Daphnia pulex: one gene and its partners. The protein of the gene in region 1 binds, or shares a complex with, the protein of each later gene. Links are inferred from orthologs where the notes say so. Each region holds a gene or a part of one and is shown on either strand. Other genes may lie near its edges.

The links. The genes of interacting proteins can lie anywhere in the genome.
Region 2: chromatin assembly factor 1 p55 subunit (region 1) and histone deacetylase 1-like share a complex: the UniProt entries of both Drosophila melanogaster proteins name them as parts of the DREAM complex. The link is inferred for Daphnia pulex from reciprocal best matches to the Drosophila melanogaster genes Caf1-55 and HDAC1.
Region 3: chromatin assembly factor 1 p55 subunit (region 1) and myb-related protein A-like share a complex: the UniProt entries of both Drosophila melanogaster proteins name them as parts of the DREAM complex. The link is inferred for Daphnia pulex from reciprocal best matches to the Drosophila melanogaster genes Caf1-55 and Myb.
Region 4: chromatin assembly factor 1 p55 subunit (region 1) and histone-lysine N-methyltransferase EZH2-like share a complex: the UniProt entries of both Drosophila melanogaster proteins name them as parts of the polycomb repressive complex. The link is inferred for Daphnia pulex from reciprocal best matches to the Drosophila melanogaster genes Caf1-55 and E(z).

Annotation. Positions count from the first base shown.
Region 1 is NC_060023.1:6,454,525-6,459,890, reverse strand, and holds chromatin assembly factor 1 p55 subunit, read left to right. Parts: upstream 1-1,229; 5' UTR 1,230-1,367; coding exon 1,368-1,386; intron 1,387-1,448; coding exon 1,449-1,596; intron 1,597-1,665; coding exon 1,666-1,811; intron 1,812-1,871; coding exon 1,872-2,076; intron 2,077-2,149; coding exon 2,150-2,522; intron 2,523-2,592; coding exon 2,593-2,805; intron 2,806-2,869; coding exon 2,870-3,049; 3' UTR 3,050-3,209; downstream 3,210-5,366. Other genes in the region: apolipoprotein D-like, read left to right, coding at 5,184-5,321. UniProt on the Drosophila melanogaster protein: Core histone-binding subunit that may target chromatin assembly factors, chromatin remodeling factors and histone deacetylases to their histone substrates in a manner that is regulated by nucleosomal DNA.
Region 2 is NC_060024.1:1,149,151-1,154,973, forward strand, and holds histone deacetylase 1-like, read left to right. Parts: upstream 1-1,857; 5' UTR 1,858-1,997; coding exon 1,998-2,049; intron 2,050-2,542; coding exon 2,543-2,571; intron 2,572-2,636; coding exon 2,637-2,720; intron 2,721-2,781; coding exon 2,782-2,899; intron 2,900-2,963; coding exon 2,964-3,139; intron 3,140-3,211; coding exon 3,212-3,391; intron 3,392-3,449; coding exon 3,450-3,651; intron 3,652-3,707; coding exon 3,708-3,957; intron 3,958-4,014; coding exon 4,015-4,073; intron 4,074-4,155; coding exon 4,156-4,309; intron 4,310-4,373; coding exon 4,374-4,600; intron 4,601-4,659; coding exon 4,660-4,745; 3' UTR 4,746-4,927; downstream 4,928-5,823. UniProt on the Drosophila melanogaster protein: Catalyzes the deacetylation of lysine residues on the N-terminal part of the core histones (H2A, H2B, H3 and H4).
Region 3 is NC_060022.1:6,349,171-6,355,009, reverse strand, and holds the start of myb-related protein A-like, read right to left. Parts: upstream 3,967-5,839; 5' UTR 3,726-3,966; intron 3,646-3,725; exon of another isoform or gene 3,487-3,645; intron 2,005-3,486; 5' UTR 1,987-2,004; coding exon 1,753-1,986; intron 1,664-1,752; coding exon 1,514-1,663; intron 740-1,513; coding exon 507-739; intron 380-506; coding exon 217-379; intron 144-216; coding exon 1-143. Other genes in the region: zinc finger FYVE domain-containing protein 9-like, read right to left, coding at 4,616-4,768, 4,834-5,125, 5,188-5,434, 5,500-5,839. UniProt on the Drosophila melanogaster protein: DNA-binding protein that specifically recognizes the sequence 5'-YAAC[GT]G-3'. Component of the DREAM complex, a multiprotein complex that can both act as a transcription activator or repressor depending on the context.
Region 4 is NC_060018.1:4,494,583-4,500,424, reverse strand, and holds the start of histone-lysine N-methyltransferase EZH2-like, read left to right. Parts: upstream 1-1,876; 5' UTR 1,877-2,226; exon of another isoform or gene 2,227-2,589; 5' UTR 2,590-2,790; coding exon 2,791-3,399; intron 3,400-3,564; exon of another isoform or gene 3,565-3,815; coding exon of another isoform or gene 3,816-3,857; intron 3,858-3,920; coding exon of another isoform or gene 3,921-3,923; coding exon 3,924-4,065; intron 4,066-4,136; coding exon 4,137-4,354; intron 4,355-4,417; coding exon 4,418-4,809; intron 4,810-4,869; coding exon 4,870-5,033; intron 5,034-5,148; coding exon 5,149-5,175; intron 5,176-5,266; coding exon 5,267-5,367; intron 5,368-5,424; coding exon 5,425-5,626; intron 5,627-5,686; coding exon 5,687-5,842. UniProt on the Drosophila melanogaster protein: Polycomb group (PcG) protein. Catalytic subunit of the Esc/E(z) complex, which methylates 'Lys-9' and 'Lys-27' of histone H3, leading to transcriptional repression of the affected target gene.

The DNA.
Region 1 (5,366 bases):
TTAACATAACTCTGATGCTTTAACGTGGTTAATATGGTGTATGGGTGTCTTTCGTGCAAAAGCTTATATCGTACCATGCTGGATGAATGATGATGATGAATATATTGGGTCCGATCGAATCTACAATGAATTATTGTTCAAATGAACGGAAGGCCAACAGCTAACTTAAATTGTGGAATATCTCTTTTGAAATGAGAACAGAAGTTGACTTCAATTTTGGACCATTGTTATGATAATATCTCAACCGGCATTTCCATCCATTATTACTCCTCATATTCCTCATACTCCTCATACTACACGTAATGCTCGGCGAAATATATATATATATATATTTCATTTGGTTGAAGCACTACGTTATTAGCCTTTAGTGAATGTTGTGATAGCAGAAAATTTTAATCCAATAAATACGTTATGAAGGAATGGAAAGAAATGACGGTGTTTTCAAATCATTAATTTTTCTTAGACGCAGTAAAAAATAATCCTATTAACGCTGTACAACTTCTATACTGAACTCAATTAAATTTATGGCAAAAAATACACTGTGCAATGAAAGAGAATTTTGAAGTGGTTTACTCGTCTTGCTATCTTCTAGTTCAAATATCGGTTTGATTGTCTGATGACGGAAAATATTACATTGTTTAACGGATGGCCGGAGGAGGCTTTCTTCATGATTTACTGTGAACCATTTCCTAGAGCGCCAATCGCCTTTACATTGTAACAGGTAGATCACTTTAACCTTGACAACAAAGGTGAAGCACCTTCAAATTTCCTTCCATTGTTTTGGCATCTAGCGCTAAACCACTATGAAATTAATTATGCGCAACAGAAAAAGCTTGAGAAAAAGTTAAAATCATATTGGGCATCGGAAAACCATTAAAATTTTGTGGAATTAAGCATTGATATATTTTTGAAAGCAAATATTTTTTTCTAGAAAAAATAACTGTATTCCTATAACAATATAACTGTTTTTATGCCTTACACTGCCTTACATGAAGATTTTTTCCTAGACCTACCCACAGGCATACAAATCTCTCAACACCCATGGCCTACCTAAATATTGTTTTTAATTATTACTAATTAAATTTAATTTTTAAATCAGACTTTTGAAGTAGGCAAATTCTTTTAATTTGACAACAATTTTATTATTTTCAAGATTTTTTTCTTTAAAGACATGACCATGCCATCTATGAACGGCAAAATAAACTATTGAAGTAGTTTCGACTTTTTCCAAAGTGGCACCACTGGAATTGCTTTCGTTTTTGCCGCCATTTAACAAAGCAGCACGCTCAAAAGTCTCTGCTAACCGAATCTATTGCTTGACAGGTTCCAGCCGGTTCATCATTAGTAAAGGACTTGATTGACTAACGATGGCAGATAAAGATGGAGGTATCTGTTGAAATCATTCTTTGTTATTGGATGACAGTGAAATTTAATCCAATCTTTTTTAGAGCCCTTTGATGAAGCAGTGGAAGAACGCGTCATCAACGAGGAATACAAAATTTGGAAGAAAAATACTCCATTTTTGTATGATTTGGTTATGACACATGCTCTGGAATGGCCTTCACTTACAGCTCAATGGCTTCCTGATGTTACAAGGTAAATTACTGAGAACAAAGGTGTTTTATTGTTTCTTTCTAACTGTTGAATGTTTCTTTTCTCCGTTAGGCCTGAAGGCAAAGACTACTCAGTGCATCGTCTCATCCTTGGTACTCACACTAGCGATGAACAAAATCACCTCTTGATTGCATCTGTCCAGCTTCCTAATGAGGATGCTCAGTTTGATGCTTCACATTATGACAATGATAAAGGAGGTAGTCATTTAACTTGATCAAATCTGTTGCACTATTGTTTTAATGCTTCATCTCTATCAGAGTTTGGAGGCTTTGGATCAGTGAGTGGTAAGATTGAAATTGAGATCAAGATCAACCATGAAGGAGAAGTCAACAGGGCTCGCTACATGCCCCAGAATCCTTGTGTGATTGCCACTAAAACACCTTCATCTGACGTCTTGGTCTTTGACTACACAAAACATCCTTCTCGCCCTGATCCTAGTGGAGAGTGCCACCCTGATTTACGGTGAGTCATTTTTTATTCAAATGATTTCTTATGACCTAAACTTGTTACTCACAACTACATTATCTTTTTTTAGTCTGAGAGGACACCAGAAGGAAGGTTACGGTTTGTCTTGGAATCCAAACCTTAATGGTCACTTGCTGTCAGCATCTGATGACCACACCATTTGCTTGTGGGATATTAACGCATCGCCGAGAGAGAATCGTGTTCTCGACGCCAAAACCGTATTCACTGGCCACACAGCAGTTGTAGAAGATGTCGCTTGGCACTTGCTTCACGAGTCCTTGTTTGGTTCCGTTGCCGATGATCAGAAGCTTATGATTTGGGATACTCGCAGCAATAACACCAGCCGGCCCTCCCATACCGTGGATGCTCATACGGCTGAAGTGAACTGTCTGTCATTCAATCCTTACTCCGAATTTATTTTAGCTACCGGATCTGCAGACAAAGTATTCATTTAATATTAAAATCTACTATTTATTCTACTCAACTAAACATGTCTCCAAATTGTATTTCTAGACTGTAGCTCTTTGGGATTTGAGAAATCTTAAACTCAAATTACATTCGTTCGAGTCGCACAAGGATGAAATCTTTCAAGTCCAATGGTCACCGCATAATGAGACTATTTTGGCTTCGTCTGGCACCGACCGACGCTTGCATGTCTGGGACTTGTCCAAAATTGGAGAAGAACAATCCACCGAAGATGCCGAAGATGGCCCTCCAGAATTGTTGGTAAGTTGAAATATTGATGCGATTGTTTGATTCGGATGCTGTTTAATTATTGAATTCTCAACAGTTCATTCACGGTGGTCATACGGCCAAGATCTCTGATTTCTCCTGGAACCCGAATGAGCCCTGGGTCATCTGCTCCGTCTCTGAGGATAACATCATGCAAGTTTGGCAAATGGCTGAAAATATTTACAACGACGAGGAGCCTGAGACGCCAGCCTCAGAACTGGAAACCCCTACTAATTAATGCATTTCCAGTGTATCGCCCTATACCCTATTTCTCATCGTTTGATTCTTTACTGTCCCACGTACACGCTCATCTTTTTTTTAACATTCAAATCTTCGAATTTGGCCCTTACATCGCTTGGAGATCCAAGTTTGTGTATTCAATAAATAGCTTTCCGCGATTTGGTTCAATTTGAATTATTCTAATTACTGCCGTTAATTAGGTTACTAGTCCATTTGCAGTCCATTAAGTGGGTTGTGATGAAATTTCAATAAATGGTTGAAAGACGCTCTTATTCAGAACAAAATTCGACTCTTGATCGCCTGACCCTATGACGCAATCATTAGATTTCGAAAGCTAAATAACAGTAAATTGCCTAATTCCCGACTGTTCTAATTATTCGTGATTTTGTATTTGTACATGTTCGACTGTTTTCTTTGAACTCGGATTTCTAATCTGTGATGTTTGGATTTAGAAGCCAACAGCATATCCGTCTTGACCGTGAATCAACATTGTTCGGCTCACACTGGCCCGCCAGCAAGCAGCAGGTAAACATCTATCGTCTTCAGCTGGGTGTGGGCATCATGCGGCAGTAAAAAAGTTCCTCTCCTACCCGTGAATAAGTGTAGAGGACCGATGTTATTTATTATTCAACCTTGAAAACGCAATTAAAGCGCTTGAGGTTGAGCATGACGAAGACTCCAGCAGCATCCTCAACACCGTGTTCGGCCAAGGTCCGTCTGGATGGTTGGACCCCGTATTGGGATTGAGAAAACGCCAACATTTGTTATGTTTATGGATCGCGAAATGTGAAAATCGATTCCACATTTTCATAATGTTTTTGTTTGTTTGTTTTTTTCGCTTTTTTGTCAGTTGAAATATGCCTTGCAAAAACGTGACGCATCGGTTTTTCAAGGGCAGTTACCCAAACGCCCAAAACAAAGGCGCGCAATATTTTTTTCCAATATCCGCAAACGACTGAAATAAAATTCATTGAAAATACCGGCATCGTTAATCTCTTCTGATTTTCAATTTTAAAAAATCGATTTTGTATTTTTTTGTTTCAATGAAACCTCATCATAAAATTATTTTTACGCATTGAAAAGCCACGGGTTGCTTAACTGTTAATAAAGGTATTTACCGAATTTTCCAGACAATACATTGTATAATTAATTTCGGTTTTAGTCTCTAACACGGAAATTGCGTTTCAAGTCGGTGCTGGGCCTATCGGTGCTGGTTGTCAAGTCACTTTCCTGACTGAATAGATCCATTAATCACCTAATCGAAAGAGCGCTGGCCATCGTTGAGATATGCATTTTCGGTTGGAGGAAGCCAACATCAAAGAGATGGATGATGCTTATTTTCAATCGGGGTATACAAGTAAAATAACTCACGACAGAGCTGTTTACCCGATCTTTGGCCTTGCGGGACCTTGATCGAGCGCGTTGACGCGTGGTGTTACGTACGGCTCGCGGTGCTGTACTGGGACTTGGTCTCTTAACCCCAGGGTTTAATTTCCACTTTCAAGGTTGAATCATAATAAACACGAATTTCGTTTTTTCCCTCCCCAAAAAAGCTGCATGTGGCATTCATGGATGCCCATTTCCAGCCGAATCAACCTTTCGCGCTCAGCGGGGAGGCAGCAATAACAGCTCAGCTCGACCTCCGAAGCGGGCGTGACGCGGCCACAAAGAACGAGACGGATTGCAGCAGCACGTTGAAAAATCTGTGAAGCAAGTGGCTGGACGATCGTGCCTTTCGATAGCATTCGAGAAGCAGGAATATTTTTCTTCTTCTTCTTCAGCATGCTGGAATTGATTATATCCAGCGCTATAAGAAACGAGAAGGGTAGGGTCTCGAAGAGTTGACCTGCGTGAAACAATTACGCCCCACTGAGGAGAGTCTACCACCACCACACTCGTATCTTCTCTATCCTCCCCTCCAAAAAACAAGCAGCGGGGTTCTTTGTTGGCACATCGGTTACTAACCCAGTGCTAGGAGCGTTCTTTTTTGTTATCACGTTATACAAGGTGCGCAAGGCGTGAATTTCTTGTCTTAGTGTATAAAAGATACGCGCAGCTCGTCGTTGTGGATTAGACCGCCGGTGTTTGTCATCCGAAGAACACACGCCAGGACAAAAACATCAAACATCACAATGGCAAAGAACCTTAGTGCGCTGATGCTGCTGGCTGCTGTACTGACAGTCGAAATACCGTCCTTCGTTTTGGGCCAGATTGTAATTCCCGGTGATTGTCCCAAATACCCAACGCAGCCCAGCTTTAATCCAGCTCAGGTATAATATTAATTTTGTAATTTCTACCGTGTGTTGTGGTCGTTA
Region 2 (5,823 bases), on another chromosome or scaffold:
TTGAAATGACCGCTGAAATGTAGGAATTGATTCAAAAGCGGATTGACTTTGAATCAATACAAATGTCTTTCATGCAACAATAAAATAAAGAAACGCGTAGTCCCATGAGGCCCGTATGATGCTGGGGCGACGGGTTTTTTGGGGGAGCAGAAGCATGACAGAAGTAGGTGCGTGGTTGGTCTCAGCAGGCCCGTGGTTAGGGTATAGGGGGACAACACTTACCAGGACGCAGCCAAACAGACGAATTTCCCGTAGGGATTCTGTAGGGGAGACCGGACCCATGTTGGACACTGTTCCAAGTTGGACAGTGTCTTAAAATATAGTAAAAATTGCTTTAAAATTCTAGATTTCACATTGTTCTAGATGTGATGATGCTAGATCCTGTGTAGTTTAATTAATTTCCCGAGAGTAGAACGGGAGTTATAGGAGGAAGAAAAAACACGATAAATTATTGCAAAATTTTTCGCCCGAATTATTGATCTTGCTCCAAGTTTGTTTGAGTAAAAAAATTTTTAAACAAATGTTTTTAAATTATTTATTATTGGAAGAACTATCATACAAGGTTTTTAAAATAATTTAAAGACATTAATTTCCACCTTTTCGAACCCCGTCTAACTTGGTACAGGCCCCTGTCTAATTTCACCCCGGCTCGGTAAAAAACACCGAAAAATGGAAATCAATGTAAATTCTTAAATTTTAAAGTTACACATTTTAAAAAAATCAAGGGGGTGGAGGCAAGGCTAAAAAATGACCTTAGCCAAAAAAAAATTCTTTTGCCTAAGGGGATCGGGAGATATGCGGGAAAAACCGCGACTGTCCAAGAGGGGTCCGGTCTCCCCTACAGGTTTTTTGGCATACGGGAGGATTAGTTCCAATTTCGCCAATAGATGGCTTCGATTACTTTTTCGACAGTAGATGGTGGGTCGGTCGAATTTCACCAATTTTAACTGCGCGCGTTGAAACTGGCATCTAGGCTCTAGCGACTAAAAGTAAACTGTCATCTGCCTCTTTCTCTTCTTCTTCTAGATTTTTTTATATCTTCCCGTCCATCGATGACTGGAAAGAGATTCAGCTCTTTTCAGACCGACCAGGAAAGAATAACATCTGTAATAGCCTACATCAGCCAAAAATTTTTATTTTTATTTTTTGTCCGCTTGGCGCAACCTAAGACTGGTGGCTTTTTCAAATCTTATTTAGAAAAGAAACCAAAACGAAGATTTCGACATTTTTCCCCCTGCCCCTTCTCGGAAGACGAATTCGACTGCGCTGCTCCTTCCGGCGAGCCCATCTCCTTATCTCTGAAAACGTCTAACGGAGTTGATAGATCGTTAGATCTCCAGCTTAATGGCTCTGGTTTCTAGTTCCATACTCCTTAGTCCCTAACCTAATCCCTAATTTCTAAATTTATTATTTACTAGAATATGTTTATTTCAAATACCTTCGTATTTGGAAATTGATAATATAAGATTTAAAAAATATAACTGCGTAATTTTTTCATTTTGAAAATCACTTGTTTCGTGTGGGTTTTCCAAAAAAATCAAATTCCAATATATTTATTAAACATTATGTTTCCCAGAAGGGTTCCGACTTCTGAAAACTGATTATTACATATTCAATCCTATCAACAACATTCATGGAAAAATTGCTTCTTGCAATTAGTTTGACGTGATACTTTACCTTGACTCCTCCACCAGGGCAACAGATAATTATCCATTACTCTGCCTCCACTTATTATCATCATTTTTATAGTTTTGTAAGGACTCGACTCGAATCGAAGGAGATTCGAGATTTTTTGAGAGCTGGCAAATATGTTTCCTCAAATTCGCGTTTGAGGCTTTGGGCTATCGTAGTTAGTTTGTAGATTTGGCAACACTGTAAATGTAAGCATTCGCATTCGACGCAGCGAAAGCAATTGATGCTGGTGTCTTTTCTTTTCAGTGTAACTGTCGAAAAGTAAAAATAATTTTAATAAAGAATTGTGATTTTCAATTTCGAAAATGACTACTCAACCAAGTCACAGCAGAAAGCGAGTTTGCTACTATTATGACAGTAAGTTAGAAAAATAATTGTATCATGTATAATTAACGTTTCATGTCGCGTGTTTGACTGCCGGCGTCCTTTTTTAAATTAATTATTTCAGTGGTCATATTCTATTTATTTTATAAATTCCCAAAGATACTTGATTTTTGCTAAATTTATATACCTATCTATTGTGACATTTTGATGTACAAAATTTATGTGGAAGTAACAATATTTGGCAAGTGGGACGTCATTTATGCACAGTAGTATCACAAAGAATTATAGATGTTTGAAGACTGAAGAGCACATAGTATTAAAAAAGAAAGATATGTGGCTATATTATCATTTAAATTGGGTTTTATTTTTGAATTGCTTCAAAATTTTATTAAGATTTTCATGTCAAATTTGTCGATGAGGTTGTCGGGGGTATAATTGACGTCCTACTTGGTGGGTGGGTTGGCATTTTTATGGTGACTTTTCATTTTAACTCTTAAATTTGTAATTCCTTTTTTTATTAACCTAGGTGACATCGGGAATTTTTATTATGGACAGGTAATAATATTGAACACATTTATGTTAATGAAACTGTAATTAATAATAAATTTTTGAAATTGAAGGGACATCCCATGAAACCTCATCGCATACGCATGACCCACAACTTGCTCTTGAATTATGGGCTATACCGTAAAATGGAAATCTATGTAAAAATTCAAGAAGCTAGATGATAATTGCCACAGTTTAATTGAATTTATTTTTTGTTAGCGACCACACAAAGCCACAGCTGAAGAAATGACCAAGTTCCACAGTGATGATTACATTCGATTTCTTCGAAGCATCAGACCTGACAATATGACAGAATACAATAAACAGATGCAGAGATGTAAGATGTGTTTACAATTTGATCAATTTGAAATTGTGAATTAATTTATTTGTTTGTTTTTTAGTTAATGTGGGTGAAGACTGTCCTGTTTTTGATGGGCTCTACGAATTTTGTCAATTATCTGCTGGAGGTTCTGTAGCTGGAGCTGTGAAGCTCAACAAGCAAGCAACTGAGATAGCTGTGAACTGGGCTGGGGGATTACATCATGCCAAAAAGTCTGAGGCATCAGGATTCTGCTATGTAAATGAATAACTTAATAACAGTTTTTGGATATAACTTACTAACTAATGTTCATCTCTTTCCATATTTTAGGTAAATGACATAGTGTTGGCAATTTTAGAGCTTCTGAAATACCACCAACGTGTTTTGTATATTGACATTGATATTCATCATGGTGATGGAGTGGAAGAAGCCTTTTACACTACTGATCGTGTAATGACTGTTTCATTTCACAAATATGGAGAATATTTTCCTGGAACTGGAGATCTCAGAGTAAGAAGTTTTGAACTAAATTTTGAATAAGAAACTGTTATTTATCCTTTTGTTGTAGGACATTGGTGCAGGCAAAGGAAAATATTATGCCGTAAATTTCCCCCTGAGAGATGGAATAGATGATGAAAGCTATGAGCAAATCTTCGTACCTATCATGTCAAAAGTGATGGAAACTTATCAGCCGAGTGCAGTGGTTCTCCAATGCGGTGCCGATAGTTTGTCTGGTGATCGTTTGGGATGCTTTAATCTTACTTTGAAAGGTATGTGTTCGGAACTATTGTTTTTAGTATACATGTTATTATCAAGTTGTCTTTAGGTCACGCAAAATGTGTTGATTTTGTTAAGAAACATAATCTGCCTTTACTGCTGCTTGGAGGTGGTGGTTACACTATTCGAAATGTTGCCCGTTGTTGGACTTACGAGACCGCAGTGGCACTGGGAAATGACATTGCAAATGAACTCCCTTACAACGATTATTTTGAATATTTTGGTCCCGATTTTAAATTGCACATTAGTCCGTCTAACATGGCAAATCAAAATACTCCGGAATATTTAGATAAAATCAAGTAAGTTTTTAGTGTTTTATTCAAAGAATTATATGTTGAGTGACATGTTTTTCTTAGAACTCGTCTTTTCGAAAACCTCCGCATGTTACCTCATGCTCCTGGAGTCCAAATGCAAGGTACTTGCATTAAATTTAATTCTTCAATTGTATTTATTATTTCATTGCATTGCGTTTAACTGATCCAAAATTATTCTGACAGCAATTCCCGAGGATGCCATTAACGAAGATTCCGACGAAGAAGATAAATCTAATCCCGATGAACGTATATCTATACGAGCATCAGATAAAAGGATTGCACCAGACAATGAATACAGTGATTCCGAAGATGAAGGGGATTCCCGCCGAGATCAAAGGTCTGAATTCATTAATAAATCGTGCAATTTTTCATTTTTTCAATCATTATTCTCTACTATATAGATCATTTAAAGGAGCAAATCGCAAAAGACCAAGAACCGAAACAGCTGAGGGTGCTGCAGAGGTCAAAAAGGAAGAAAAGGAGGACAAAGAAGTGAATGGCGAGAATAAGGAAGGTACTTCAAAAGAGACTGTAAAGGATTCGGACAAGAAAAATGAGACAACACTGAAGTCTAGTGGTGAATCTTCTAGTGAAGGTAGTGCTTTGTCCATGGCGAATGAAATAAAAGGTTAGTGTTCACGTAATCGTGGTTATCTCAGATTTCTTACCAATTATATGTATTTTCAGAACCCGAAGAAGATAAATCTACATCGCATGAATTAAGCTCCCCTGTTCCGGTTTGCGCCGATAGCAGTAAAGGAGAAAAAGTTTGAAAATACCAATTAGGGTTTTATTTCATTTTCGCTAATTTTACACTGATGGTGATTCTTCGAGATTCATTCACATCCAATTTTCTACGTGTATCTTAATTAGAATGTAAACTCCGGCTCCTATCACCAACTGCATACCCTCAATCGGGTTCTCAGTCTTCAATACATTTTTACTAAGTTTTTCATTTTAGTTTGGTCTTTTTTCTACATCCTAAGATACGCACTTCACTTATGTTGAGTGCATACTTTAAAACTGGAATACTGATTCAACAACATGTAGCGTAACAGAAGCTTTAATAGGCAAGAAGCGTTTATTTTTAAGAATGATTTTGTAGGGAGAATCAGCGATCAGTAAGCCCAACCTAGTTGGTGGAACGTTGGAATACCGTAGGAAAAGTTTGAGGTTTTACTAGGATTAAGGTTGAAGTTAATAAATATTAAATACTTGAATTGGGATAGTGCATATTTTAATTTCAAAACTATGATAAATTTTACTATTCTGGTGTTAGGTTACATAGGTTAGATTACATATGTTAGGTTACAGTACTAGTCACTAGTATTGTTATCTAGTTATCTTATTTCTTAAATCATTATGTTTTTATAGGCCTCAATAATATAAAAAAATAATTCTAAAGGTTTCATCGATATGGATAACCGATAAGTTAAGGCAACTGGTGGTACCTCTAGTGCTTCGTTATTGTTTCAGTCACGGCTCCCAGTTATTAATTTGCAAATTATATTGTGATAATTTTTAAGTTCGTCGGTTTCGTAAAAAGTGGTTTTTAAAGTGGTGATTAAAAGTCCAACTGAACGGAAAGTAATGTATGTGAACGTGTTATATGAATTGCTTTCGTGTTTGTTGCGTTTAAACCGCGTGGTTTCCTGAGTTTTGATTTCCTCTTCTAGGTCAAGTTCGTTCATCCGATTTCTCCAGTACTTAATCCAATCTGGCATGAAGTCATTTTACAAAGATTCTTTCGATTGAGTACCTTGAGATCAATGTCTTTTCCAAAAAGATTTCCAATCAGCGGCATAAAGAGGGTTAGCCTCTGACCGTTGCTCCTTGAACTGCCGCACACAA
Region 3 (5,839 bases), on another chromosome or scaffold:
GGTGATGGATTAAAGTTGTTTGGTACCAACTCTACCGACATACGACTGTTTTGACTGCACGGCCTTGACATCATCTGATGCTCAAACATGGGTGACGGATGTTCCGATCCATATTCCGCAGAGCAAGATTGTTCAAATGGCATCTAATTAAGAAAAATGAAATAATTTGGTTTGATTATTTCGTTGTTGTGGCAAAACTTTTCAATAAATTCTAACCGGAGTCGAAGCAAGAGGGTGAGGATGCTGTTGGTGATCATCCACTGCAGGACGAACTCGCTTCCGGCCACGTCGTTTCCCTGTGTCAATGATGCTTGAACCATCTGTTTCATAGCGCTTTTTCATAGCCGAGTTCCAGTGATTCTTGATGGCATTATCCGTTCTGGATAGAGAAATCAGACAAAAGATAACGGGTATGTAGGCATGAATAAAGAAAAGTGTCAAGGCAAGCTCCTGTCACACCCATGTGATGAATGGATAAATCGGCAAAGCTCTTTTTATGACAATACCTTCCAGGTAGAAGTTTGGCGATCTTGGCCCATTGATTTCCGTATTGTTCATGAGCATTGGCTAGCAGCCGGTCTTCTTCCTCCGTCCAGGGTGACTTGTTGATGTTAGGATCGAGATGGTTGTGCCATCGTTCTCGGCATTGTTTACCTATCCGGCCATTCAGATGCTTAGCAATCTGCGTCCACTTCTTTGGACCATAGCGATGTACCAGTTGGACCACCAAGTCGTCCTCCTGTGATAAAAAAAAGGATGATGATTCAACTCAAAACTTTGACAGCATAGCATTTCTATATTCTATTCATGTCCACTTTTGGGGTGAGGTGGGCTTTGGGGGATGGGGAGAAGATAGGTGAGAAAGAGGAAAACATAAACTTGAAGGGATTTTTTTAGAGGCATCTTCTCACATATCTGTGTGAGAAGTGTGAACACGAGAATAATCCGGGCTCTTTACTTTTAAAAAGACCAATTCTGGACGTTTACAATTGAAAAGCAACTGAAAATCCGACCATTATTAGATTTGGTGGAAGGGCCAAATTCACATCACTTGAGACTATAATTTCACGTTTCTTCATTCCTCACCCAGCCGCCTTAAACCCTTGCGGCCCTTTTCTTCTTTCAATTTGGACATTCCCTGCTGTTTCACCAAGCCATAGAATTTGGTTTCCTGTTTTAAACTTTGCTCTCTCTCCCCTCTTCAAACTCCCTCCTTTCCCCCCTCTGGCATCCGGCATCCTCTCTATTTGCCGCAAGTTCCCTCCATTCTTCACGTTTTCTTTGTGATGACATCGTTTCTGCTCCATACAACACAGCATAAAACATTCAAGGTAATTATCAGGCCGTACGATCTTGAGAGGACACTTTCTTTTAATGGCAAGGTAATCGTCAAGCGGAAATGCTCGACACATGAACCGGAAATAAGGCTTTCATTGAATCAGTCACGGAATTTTCAAGAAGAAAAGAAGGAAAATAAAATAAAGACACAAACAAAGGTATAAACAAATTTTACCTCTTTGGTCCAAGGTCCCTTAACCAGCTGAGGATTGACGACTTTTGTCCATCGGTGTTGGCATTGAACGTCCGATCGATCTTCAAAGAAGGAGGCTACGTTCTCCCAAATTTCACCGGTGCGTTCCACAACTCCTTTAAGTTTTTCATCCTACAAAAAGGGCAAGAAAATCATTAACTCTACAAGACTTGGGGCTGAAAGTTGAAGGGGTAGGTAGTGGGCGGGGGAGGCAAACTCACTTCGTCCTTGGTCCATCTCCCGCGGTTCACCATTTTTCTGGCTTGGGCACCTCCTTTGGTTTTTGTAGCAACCCGGGAGGTGGCTGTTGAACTCGCTTGGTGGTGTTGGGCGCTGCTGGAGGCAGTGGCGGCGCCGTTCGGCTGATATTCACCATCTGAAATATCCGATCCAAAGTCCTCGCCATAATCCGAGCCCCAACTGTTGCTATCAGCGTCCATTCCAAAGTCGTTCATCTCGTCTACTTGGCAGGTCTAAAAAATCACACAATTTTCTGGGTTATTATTTCACGTCTTACGGTACAGGTATGCGTTGACAATGGCTCCAGTTCGCCCATTCAAATTCCTACGGTAGGGTTTTGGACAATGAATGGATTGCAAATGGAAAAGAAAGTTCTTCACGCTCTTGTGTGCACATGGTTGCAAGGGAGATTATCCGGCGACATGACTCAGAATACATTAGCTCTGTACTGTAAAAAGACCGAAGTAGAGGAATAATAGAAGAAGAAAAAAAACAGTAGACGACTGGGCTCCACTGCAAAGACGGAATATTTTCTTCCGTCTCCAAATTCACCCTCGTCGCTCTTATTCGATCTCACATTTCTTTGCCTGATAAAAGGAATGTTTCCCTATGGTGGGTGGCGCGATCTAGAACCTCGAAGAATCTCTCAAGAGAGAAAGCCAGGGGGACGGATCGATAACCGTGGGACAGGCACAAGGTCTTTCATAATCGGCCATGAGTGAAAGAAAAAGAGGAAGTCTACCACTACGACGCTGTATGCACGCCGGCATTGAACATCTGCTACAGCTGCTGCCCCTCTCTTCTGAATTCAGCCCCCCTCGCTCGATTCCAACACAATCTCCCCTCTCTCTGCAAGCAAAAAACCCTTGTGTTCCAACATAAGAGAGCAACTTTTATTTTGATGCCATCTCGACGTCCATATTTACCCCTCGTATATAAAAAAATAGACGGCGTCGCTTGTTCTGTGCTCTCTTGACCTCTTTTGCTGGGACTACACAGTGAATCAAACTTAAAGCTTGTCGATGGTACCCCCCAACTTGCCCGGAACTAAATAAAGACAATGCCGTATACGGGCGCGCCTGTGTTTAGCCATCAAGCAGCTGCTGTCACCCCCCTATACAAATCAGCCTTCACTCTAGTGGAGGGGAAACCAGGTCTAACACAATTATCGGGCAGGTGGTCAGCACCAACATGAAGCGAATTCCCTATTAAGATCAAAGTGATAGATGTGCTTTTCGGTAATAATGAAAGACCCGTGCCAGAAGGACAATGGAAAACGACGAACAAACGTAGACGTCTCGAAGAAATGCTAATGACCAATGGAGAGAGGCCCGACTTTCCATTTTTGGAAACAAAATGCTGAAACCAAAACTTGCTTCAGAAATGTTTACCAATTTCGAAGAAATTAGGAAATGAAATGGACTGTCGGAATAAGAGTTACTTTCCATTGGGGAAACGATAACTTTTGAAATTGAATTAAAGATTTCAAGATAATAAGAATCACTTCACAGAAAAAAAACCGGCTTTGTTCTTATCTCGGTTATCTTTGACTCCCAAACACCGATTTTTTTAAAGTTTTTTTTTCTACCTGCAGACAAGACAATTGAAACCATATTCTTCTATCGGTTTGGATTAAAAGAGGTAAAACTCTTTGTCCAGGCGAGACTAAGACCTTTTCAGCTCTCCTGAGAATTTAAACATAAAAAAGGGTATACCTGCTTAAGTAAAAAAATCGCCAGAAAGTCGACAACAGACTTGACTTATTTTTCTGAAATTGCAATACAACTTTTCGAAAATTTCTTTGTCCTAAGAGAAAACTAGCATCAAAAGAAAGCGAAAACTCTGTCCAGACTGGGCCAAACGCACAACTCGAAAAGTCTGCTTTGTTGCTATAATCGTCCCCACCACTTGTGGAGGGAAACAAGGCATGCTAGATAGAGATTTCACGTTTTACCTTGAGTATTGAATCGTAGTTGGCAACGGGTCGGGTAAATGAGTGATGTTTTACCTCACCATGGTGAGATGATTGTAAACAAATCCACAGAATCTCACGACACTACTGTTTCGTTTCAATTACTTAGCACTGTTTTCAGAAAGCGGACACACCGCAGCTGTATGTTTTGAGCGACTACTAGGGAATGGCGGCCATTGGAGTTCCATGAGGCGGGAAGCCTTGTTGTCAGTACCCTTCCCCTTTTTTGAAAAAAAATGGCGCCCAAGCTTGGGGATGAGGAGCGTCGCCTATTGGTTCGCATTGTTTAAGCTTTCTGATTGGCTGGCTTTACGCAATTCAAAAGTTTAATAACAGATGGCGGAGCTGATTACGATTGGCAACAGCTAAGATAAAAATAAAACTAGACAAAATATAATACTGCATCTATGCACTCGTTTTTACTTATCTTTGTATGAACTCATCTTATATTCTGCATTTGAAATTGATAAAATGTCTATTTCAATGGGTTTTTTCATCTTGAAAATGAGATTAGGTGCGATGATTTTGTTTTCTAATTTGCGCTCGCGTTAAGGAAACGCTAACATGACTAAAATCATTAAATATTAATTTCAAAAATTGTTAGGAAGTATAACTTTTCGAACAAATGGAAAGATAAGATGACTAACCGAAGTTTATTGGTATTTAGACGAGGGAAAATGTTTTCTCTCAAAAGATAAGGAAGAGGGGAATGGCAACCAGTATATAGAACCTTTGTGATAACAACAGAGTAACAAAATTTTTGGATAGCAGCAATAAGAAAAGCCACTACTTCATTGTTATACAAATATTACAAAGCCAAATCACATTTCGGTTACAGCTGTCGCATCAGCATCAGCCAAAGAAATCGCCATTTACGGATGAACGACTTGAAACCAAAGTTCCACTATACAGGGAACTCCTTGACCTGAAGATTCTCGATGTAAGATTGGGATTAGCGATGAATCCAGTTCCTCGACACATGCATTCGGCAGGGAGGTTTGTCCGGCTCCTGCTTGATATTCCACCTAGACAAAGCCGAACATGGTGGATGATTTGATATTTTAAGAGAAAAAGGTATAATCTAATTTACCGAATCTCCGTCCAAAGAAACACGTAGCCCAATCAAAGTGTGAGGCTCGAGGCTTGCGAGTTTGGCGGCCAGAGCCACTGATGCAGCTTTGGCCAAAGTTTCAGCGAAACGTGTGATGTCTCCATTATCCTCAATTCTATTAGAGGAAGAGCGTGCACTGTCCTCTATTTGAATAACAAAAAGTTCTGTCCAACGCAAAAGTCTATGACCCTCGCCTTTAAAGTCACGCGGCTGCATCACTCGAATCGATGATATCCCAGTGAAGCTTCGACCATCGATAGGAGATTGAACTCTTTATCAAACAAGCAATTGTTAATTTACAAAATTTTCAAACAATATGCATTGATAAATTACCCTAGATTAACAGGAGATGGTTCTTGATCTACCCATTTAAGTGTAACCGTTTCTTCCGGTTGATCATCGATTATTTTCCCGCATTGGATAGTGTAATTCTCCATTCGAATTAGTGCTTGTTTTAGATTACTGAGCATATCTGGAAGGAGTTGTACCATAACTCCATCTTCAACAATCGAAGAGCGACCACTTATACCACTGGAGCTTTTCAAAGCACCATTTAATACTAAGAAACTTGCTCCAGTAACTACGCAAGGGAAGAAAAAAATCAGTAATTCTTTTAATTATATTATAAAATACCGAATAACTAACCTTTTCGTGGCCGTGTGTGGATGTTAATCGCTTGAGTTTGATAAGATCCATCATCCAATTGAAGACAAACGAGATGAGCATCTGCTTGAGGACTGAACGATGCTGCAAGTGAAATGACATGATCGTTAGACTGGGCTAGTGCTTTACACACTTGCTGATAACGAGATTTCGGTAAAAGAATGTTAGTTTCTTTTTCTTCCATGTGTACAACAAGGCCGGCCACCGCCGGTAAGCTGTAGCTAAAGTTCCTCATGTCCTGGAATGGAGGGAAGAGAAAACAAACAGTTAGTAATAGAAATATTTGGAAATTGCACGAAGTAATTACAGCCAAAAGATTGAC
Region 4 (5,842 bases), on another chromosome or scaffold:
ATAATTATCTATCCCCCCCCCCACACTCCCGACCGAATCTTATATATATATATATACATAGTATATACACTTGAGTTTGATGTTCTACATGATATGATCCATTTTCCTCGTTCAAATTGAAAGGAAAAACAAAAAAAAAACTCGAATCGCGGAATTTGCCTCGCTGTTAAACAGTCCCATTTCGAAATTGGCGCGCGCGCATTTCTTTTAAATTTTTCAAAAACTTTCTTTGCGGGAACATTATTTTTTCATTTGCTGTGTTTAGCCGGTGGCGTCCAAGACGCATTTTCTCTGTGCTGTATTTTTTATTTTGAATCCCGACAACAAGGAAAGAGAATGTTTGTTAAATTAAATCGCCCACTATTTCGACGAGGTTATTTCCTTCTTCGTAAAAATTTAGAGAGAAGCCCTCTATCAAGAAATTGTCCGTGTATCGTTTGTCGTCACACCTGCTCGACCTAAAAAAATTTGTTTAAAATATTTTCAATTTTTTTTTTCATTTAAAAATTAATTTCCCGTACAACTCCCGTACGAGCATGTGACGGTCGATCTCGACATGATTTTTTCTTTTTTCGTTTCATAATTTTAAATTTGTCCCCTTAAACAAACAAAAACAAAAAAAAAAAGAAAACAATTTCGTATGCTTTTGTGATTTTTACGACGGACAACCCATTTCCTGTGAACGACAGAGTGAGAGAGAGTGATGGAAGGGTTTGAAAACATTTGGGCAGGAGCTCCTTCCATGTTTACCGTGTGTGAGTGTGGCAATCGTATTGATGATTGTTTTATCCCAGTGGAAGACACACCTTTTTCTTCGTATGTTTTACACCCCCTATCTTTATATATATTATATATATATATATATATATATTATTACAACAAAAAAATCTAATAGTGTGTCAATTTTTGTGTTTCTGTCAACATTTCGGGGGTCTCTTTTTCGGATTGGTTGAGGGGAGGGCAAAAAAACAAAAACCGAGTGATGGATAAAACTTTTTTCTTTTGTCAAGTTTCCCTTTTTCTAAATTGTAACTTGTGTCCATGAGTTGCAATGCACTCGGAATTTCTGTACTTTTTTATTTCGGTTTTTGTGTTTTTCTGTGGGAATTATGGAAACAAAAGTGATTTTCTCTCTCTGTCGTTTACTTTCAAAATTCTGTTTTTCAATTGTTGCGTGTTTCGGTTTTCTATTTGCAAATTCTTTTTCTGTTGATCGAAAGAAATTGTCATCCTCCCTACCCTCCATATATAATTCTATAACGGAATGCCTGTGTAATGTGTGTGTATCTGCGGAAAAAATTTCAAAACTGTACGTGCCGTGTGTTCTCTAATGACCGGTTAATGTAGCGCATTTCACGTGCGCAATCTAGACATTACAATTATGCAAGAATGTCAAATCGAGTTTTTGTTTCATTTATTTTTATTTACAAAATGAATTCTATTATACACCCATCGTCGGTATACATTCCAACAAACGGTCAACGGTTATTTTCGAAATTTCAAAAATAAAAGTTTCAAATTTGACCGCTAGATGGCTGTCGTTGGAGCAACAACAACGATAAGGTACTTGGGTTTTCGTGACACACAAAATCAATCGCAATAAAAGGTGTTAATCGAAAGCCTCAACCAAAACAACCTTAACCCACATTGATCACTTTTGCACAACTAAATTTGTTTCCCGGTCCAAAAATCTCTCGATGGAATGGTACGAAAAAACTAGGACTCTATTGATGTACACGTAGGAGCAGCAGCACCTATTCAATGTCAAATAAAGTTATACATGTTACTATTCATTTGAAAAATTCCCCCCGATTACAAAAATAAAAACGGCACGTGTCTCGACTTTTCACCCCAGTTCCATCTGGGTAGTTAGTTACAACCAAACGGTCGTCCAGTCTGTACGGTTTAGAAAATCTTTCCTGGCCACCACCAGCTATATTATTTTTCCACTGGACTCGTGCGTTTTTGTTCAAGACCCGGTTATCTTATCTGACTAGAGAGAGTCAGTTAATAAACTACAAGCAAAAAGGCGCGGTAAAATAACTTGCAAGACGCACACAATCTACGGAGAGAGGAAATGCCAAAGGAAGGAAAACGGGCGGTGCAGCAGCAGCGGCCATTTCTCACGCTCACATCTTTGGAGAAACGCAACTCGTGTTGTTGAGAGATCCGTCTGCTGCCCAGGGTGACACGTCTACAACACACACACACCAAACGGCTGTGTGGGTAGGTTTTTGAAGGTCGTATAATAACTAACTCATTCTCCTACAACTCCCCAATTTCTCCGTATGTATCCTTTCTCTTCTTTCCACTCCTCCCCTTCCTTTTCCTTGAGGGGGTCGAAAATTACAACCCACCACCACCCGTACAACAGCAGCAGCCCAATCCCTAAGGCTTCTTTTAAAATATCTTTTCTTCCTTGGTTGGCGTGTGTATGTTGAAATGGCGTGCATAGTCGAAAAACGACTAGGGGGATAGAGTGTGTTATAAGAAACTTGTTGTCTATTCTACTTGTCGAGTTCTAATCTTGTGCCCGTCAACTTGTTGTGTTTTTTTTCGTTGCTCTTCATTTCTCCGTTTGGTCGCCAGGTTGTCGAGGTACATCGTCGAGTTGGCAAGTTTGTGAGCTGCTGCCAAGAATTTTTCAACGGCAAAAATGACAGTGTCGAAATTGTTTATTTCCTACACTTGAGCTTCACGAACAAAATTTATTTTGTTTTGTTTCAAAAAAGTGTCGGCCAAACGAAATTGTTTTGTTTTTCGTTGTTGTTGTTGTTGTTTGGCCGCATCATGGCGCCCCAAGAAGTGAAATTTATGGAGAATCGGTTGGGTGGTGTTGCACTGGTCATTGATGGATGCAAGTATCGAATCAATCGACGCTCAGGCAATACGGTTTATTGGCGGTGTTTCTATCGTTGGTGTCGGGCCAACGCCGTGGTGGAAGACGGAAAATTGAAATCGTCGTGCGGCAGTCACATTTGCTCGCAGCCGCACAACAACATCCAAAACGGCGGCGCCTCTGCCAAATCGGGACGCCACCGCCAGTCGTCGGATCATCAGCAGACGCCAACAGTCACTCAGCAGCAGACGGTTGCGGTTCATCAGCGACCGGCTACTTCTTCGTCTGTCCAGCCAGGCAGTCTCAGAGGAGCAGCTTCTCTCGCCTCAAAAATGGCCACGCGTGCAGCTCAAGGATCAACTACTCACACGTTAACACGAAATGCCAACAAGGGCAAAGTGGCACTCAGATCTCAGAAACCTCCGACCAACAATAACATGGTCATCCGAAGGAAATCCAAGGCCAATGAAGAGGATATCAAACCCACCAACGTTACAGTGCAACCGTCAACTACTACTGATTCGCCACAATGTGTTCCAGATTCGCCACCTAATAATCAGGTACGTTGATTGGAAAACGGTTTGATGTTTTGGTTGCTGATGGAATCATATTACCTATTTTTACATCATTAACGCGGGGCATTTTTTTCTTTTGGGAACAAAGAAATCCCGCGCTATTTCGTGGGAAATTTCTTTTTCACTTCCCTTTCGAAGCGGGGTTGCCATTTGAATTTTTGTTGTCAGACAAATAGTCATCCGGCTCTCGTTATTTTACGACAAAATGGTGTGATAACTAGTAATTTGGACGGAGATTGGTAATAAAGAATGTTCACCGACGATCTGTCGTTATTTCGGCCGTATATCGTTCACCGGAAAGTGGCAATGTTGTTCCAGCTGTCAACTATCTTCACGCGTGACAGTTGGGAAACAAGTGTTGACGAATCCCCCCATTTTATGTTATTTTATAATTGTTATTGATGGAAAACGTGACCACCGATACACCTGATTTTGCTATTCCCGTAACGTGATCTGGTTTCCTTAGACATCCGTTTCATACAAATTTAACATCTTGTTTATCTCCACAGAATGAAGCACCCAAGTACAAGATTTCGGCCGAATGGAAACGGCGTGTGAGATCCGAGTATATGCGAATTCGCCAGTCTCGGAGGTATAAACGAGCTGATGAGATTCGTGCTGTATGGTCCGAAAACAGAAAGAACGTTAATGGTATACATGGCATTTTCAAAGTTTGAGGTAGAACACATGTGTAATAAATCTTCCTTAATCCTTATACACAGAGAGGGTGGCTGCCAACCAAAAGAAATGGGAAGTGAGCAAAGCATTCTGGGCATGCAGCCAAGATTGGCCAGCGCACAGTCAGTGCATGAAGAAAGTCAAACCTGACCACTGCCTGGGTGTCAACACCGATCAGAAAGCAGTACCTGTTAAGATCATCAATGCAGTAGCACCTGTCCCCACCATGTATTCATGGGCTGGTCTCCAACAGAACTTTATGGTATGAAACTGAAATGTTCTTTTCCTATTGTTTTTATGGAAACTAGCATATACACATCTACAGGTGGAGGATGAAACAGTTCTACACAACATCCCTTACATGGGTGATGAAGTGTTGGACCAGGATGGTACGTTTATAGAAGAATTGATCAAGAACTACGATGGAAAAGTTCACGGAGATCGCGAAGGGGGCGTCATCGATGACGATATCTTTGTGGAACTAGTCACTGCCTTAGTCCCCTATTGTGATGAAGATGAAAGGTCTGATTTGGGTTCGAAATCCGTCAAAGCTGAGAAGCTGGACGAAGCAGCACGTGATGCCATGACAAGTATCAAAGACAAACCACCCAAGGACTCTGTCCAGCCCGTAGCGAAGGATCTACCCAACATCATTGCTTTTCAAGCAATCGCCTCTGTCTTCCTAGACAAAGGAACCCCAGAAGAATTGAGAGAAAGGTATATCCAGATAAACAAAAATACAAAGTAATGATAATAAAACAACATCTTTTCATACAGGTACATGGAATTGACGGAACGAGCTGATCCTGTCGCTCTGGGTAGCGAGTGCACTCCAAATATTGACGGCCCGAAGGCTCCCTCCGTCCAGAGGGAGCAAGCCATGCACTCATTTCACACCCTGTTTTGTCGCCGATGTTTTAAATACGACTGTTTTCTTCATCGTAAGTTTGCCTGCTTCGTTACAAGTAATATCCTTCATTAGATTTGAACGTTTCTTTACACGTTTTCTTTACTTAATTCTCACTCAACTTTCCGACGCTATCTTCTTCTCTAAAGAAACTCAAGGAGCGGTGCCTCGTCGAGGTAAATTGCTGTTTGTTTCACCACTTTTAGTTTGTCTTTTTTTTTTTAACTTGTCGTGAGAGAGAAATGACTGACCTGTTTTTAATTATAGGTCTACAATCATATCATCCTGGTCCCAACAGTCAAAAGAGAAAATGCAATGATCTCAAACTTCCCAAACAGCCTTGTGGGCCGCAATGCTACATGTACTTGGTAAGATACCGATCTTATACGTTTAACAGCAGTCTTTATTCAAATTCATTATTACAGGAAGGTCTGTTAGAGAGATTAGCACAAGCAGCGCAAGAAGGTGACGAAGCCGATGGGCAGCCTCTTAAAATCCGAAAAACGGTTTCGCTAGATTCGGGTAATGAAGCTTCATCCGAAGATAGCAACGACAGTAGCGTCAAAAATGGGAACGGGGATAACCAAAATCCGCCGGAATCTGTTAAAGACGACAAAGAAATCGAATGTAAAATTTAAAACGTGCTCTACTTGTGGCCGATGTTAACTGTTTTGTCGTTGTTTGCAGGTGCAATGGAGGTCGTCGTGGAAAGTCAGACTCCACCGGAATCTGTTGCTCCTAAAGTGAGCGAGCCCAGTAAAGATTCAACGCCACTCACGTCCAATGAAAATTCGAATAGTTCTTCGAGTTTGGTACCTGAACGCAAGAATAGCCTAAATGAAA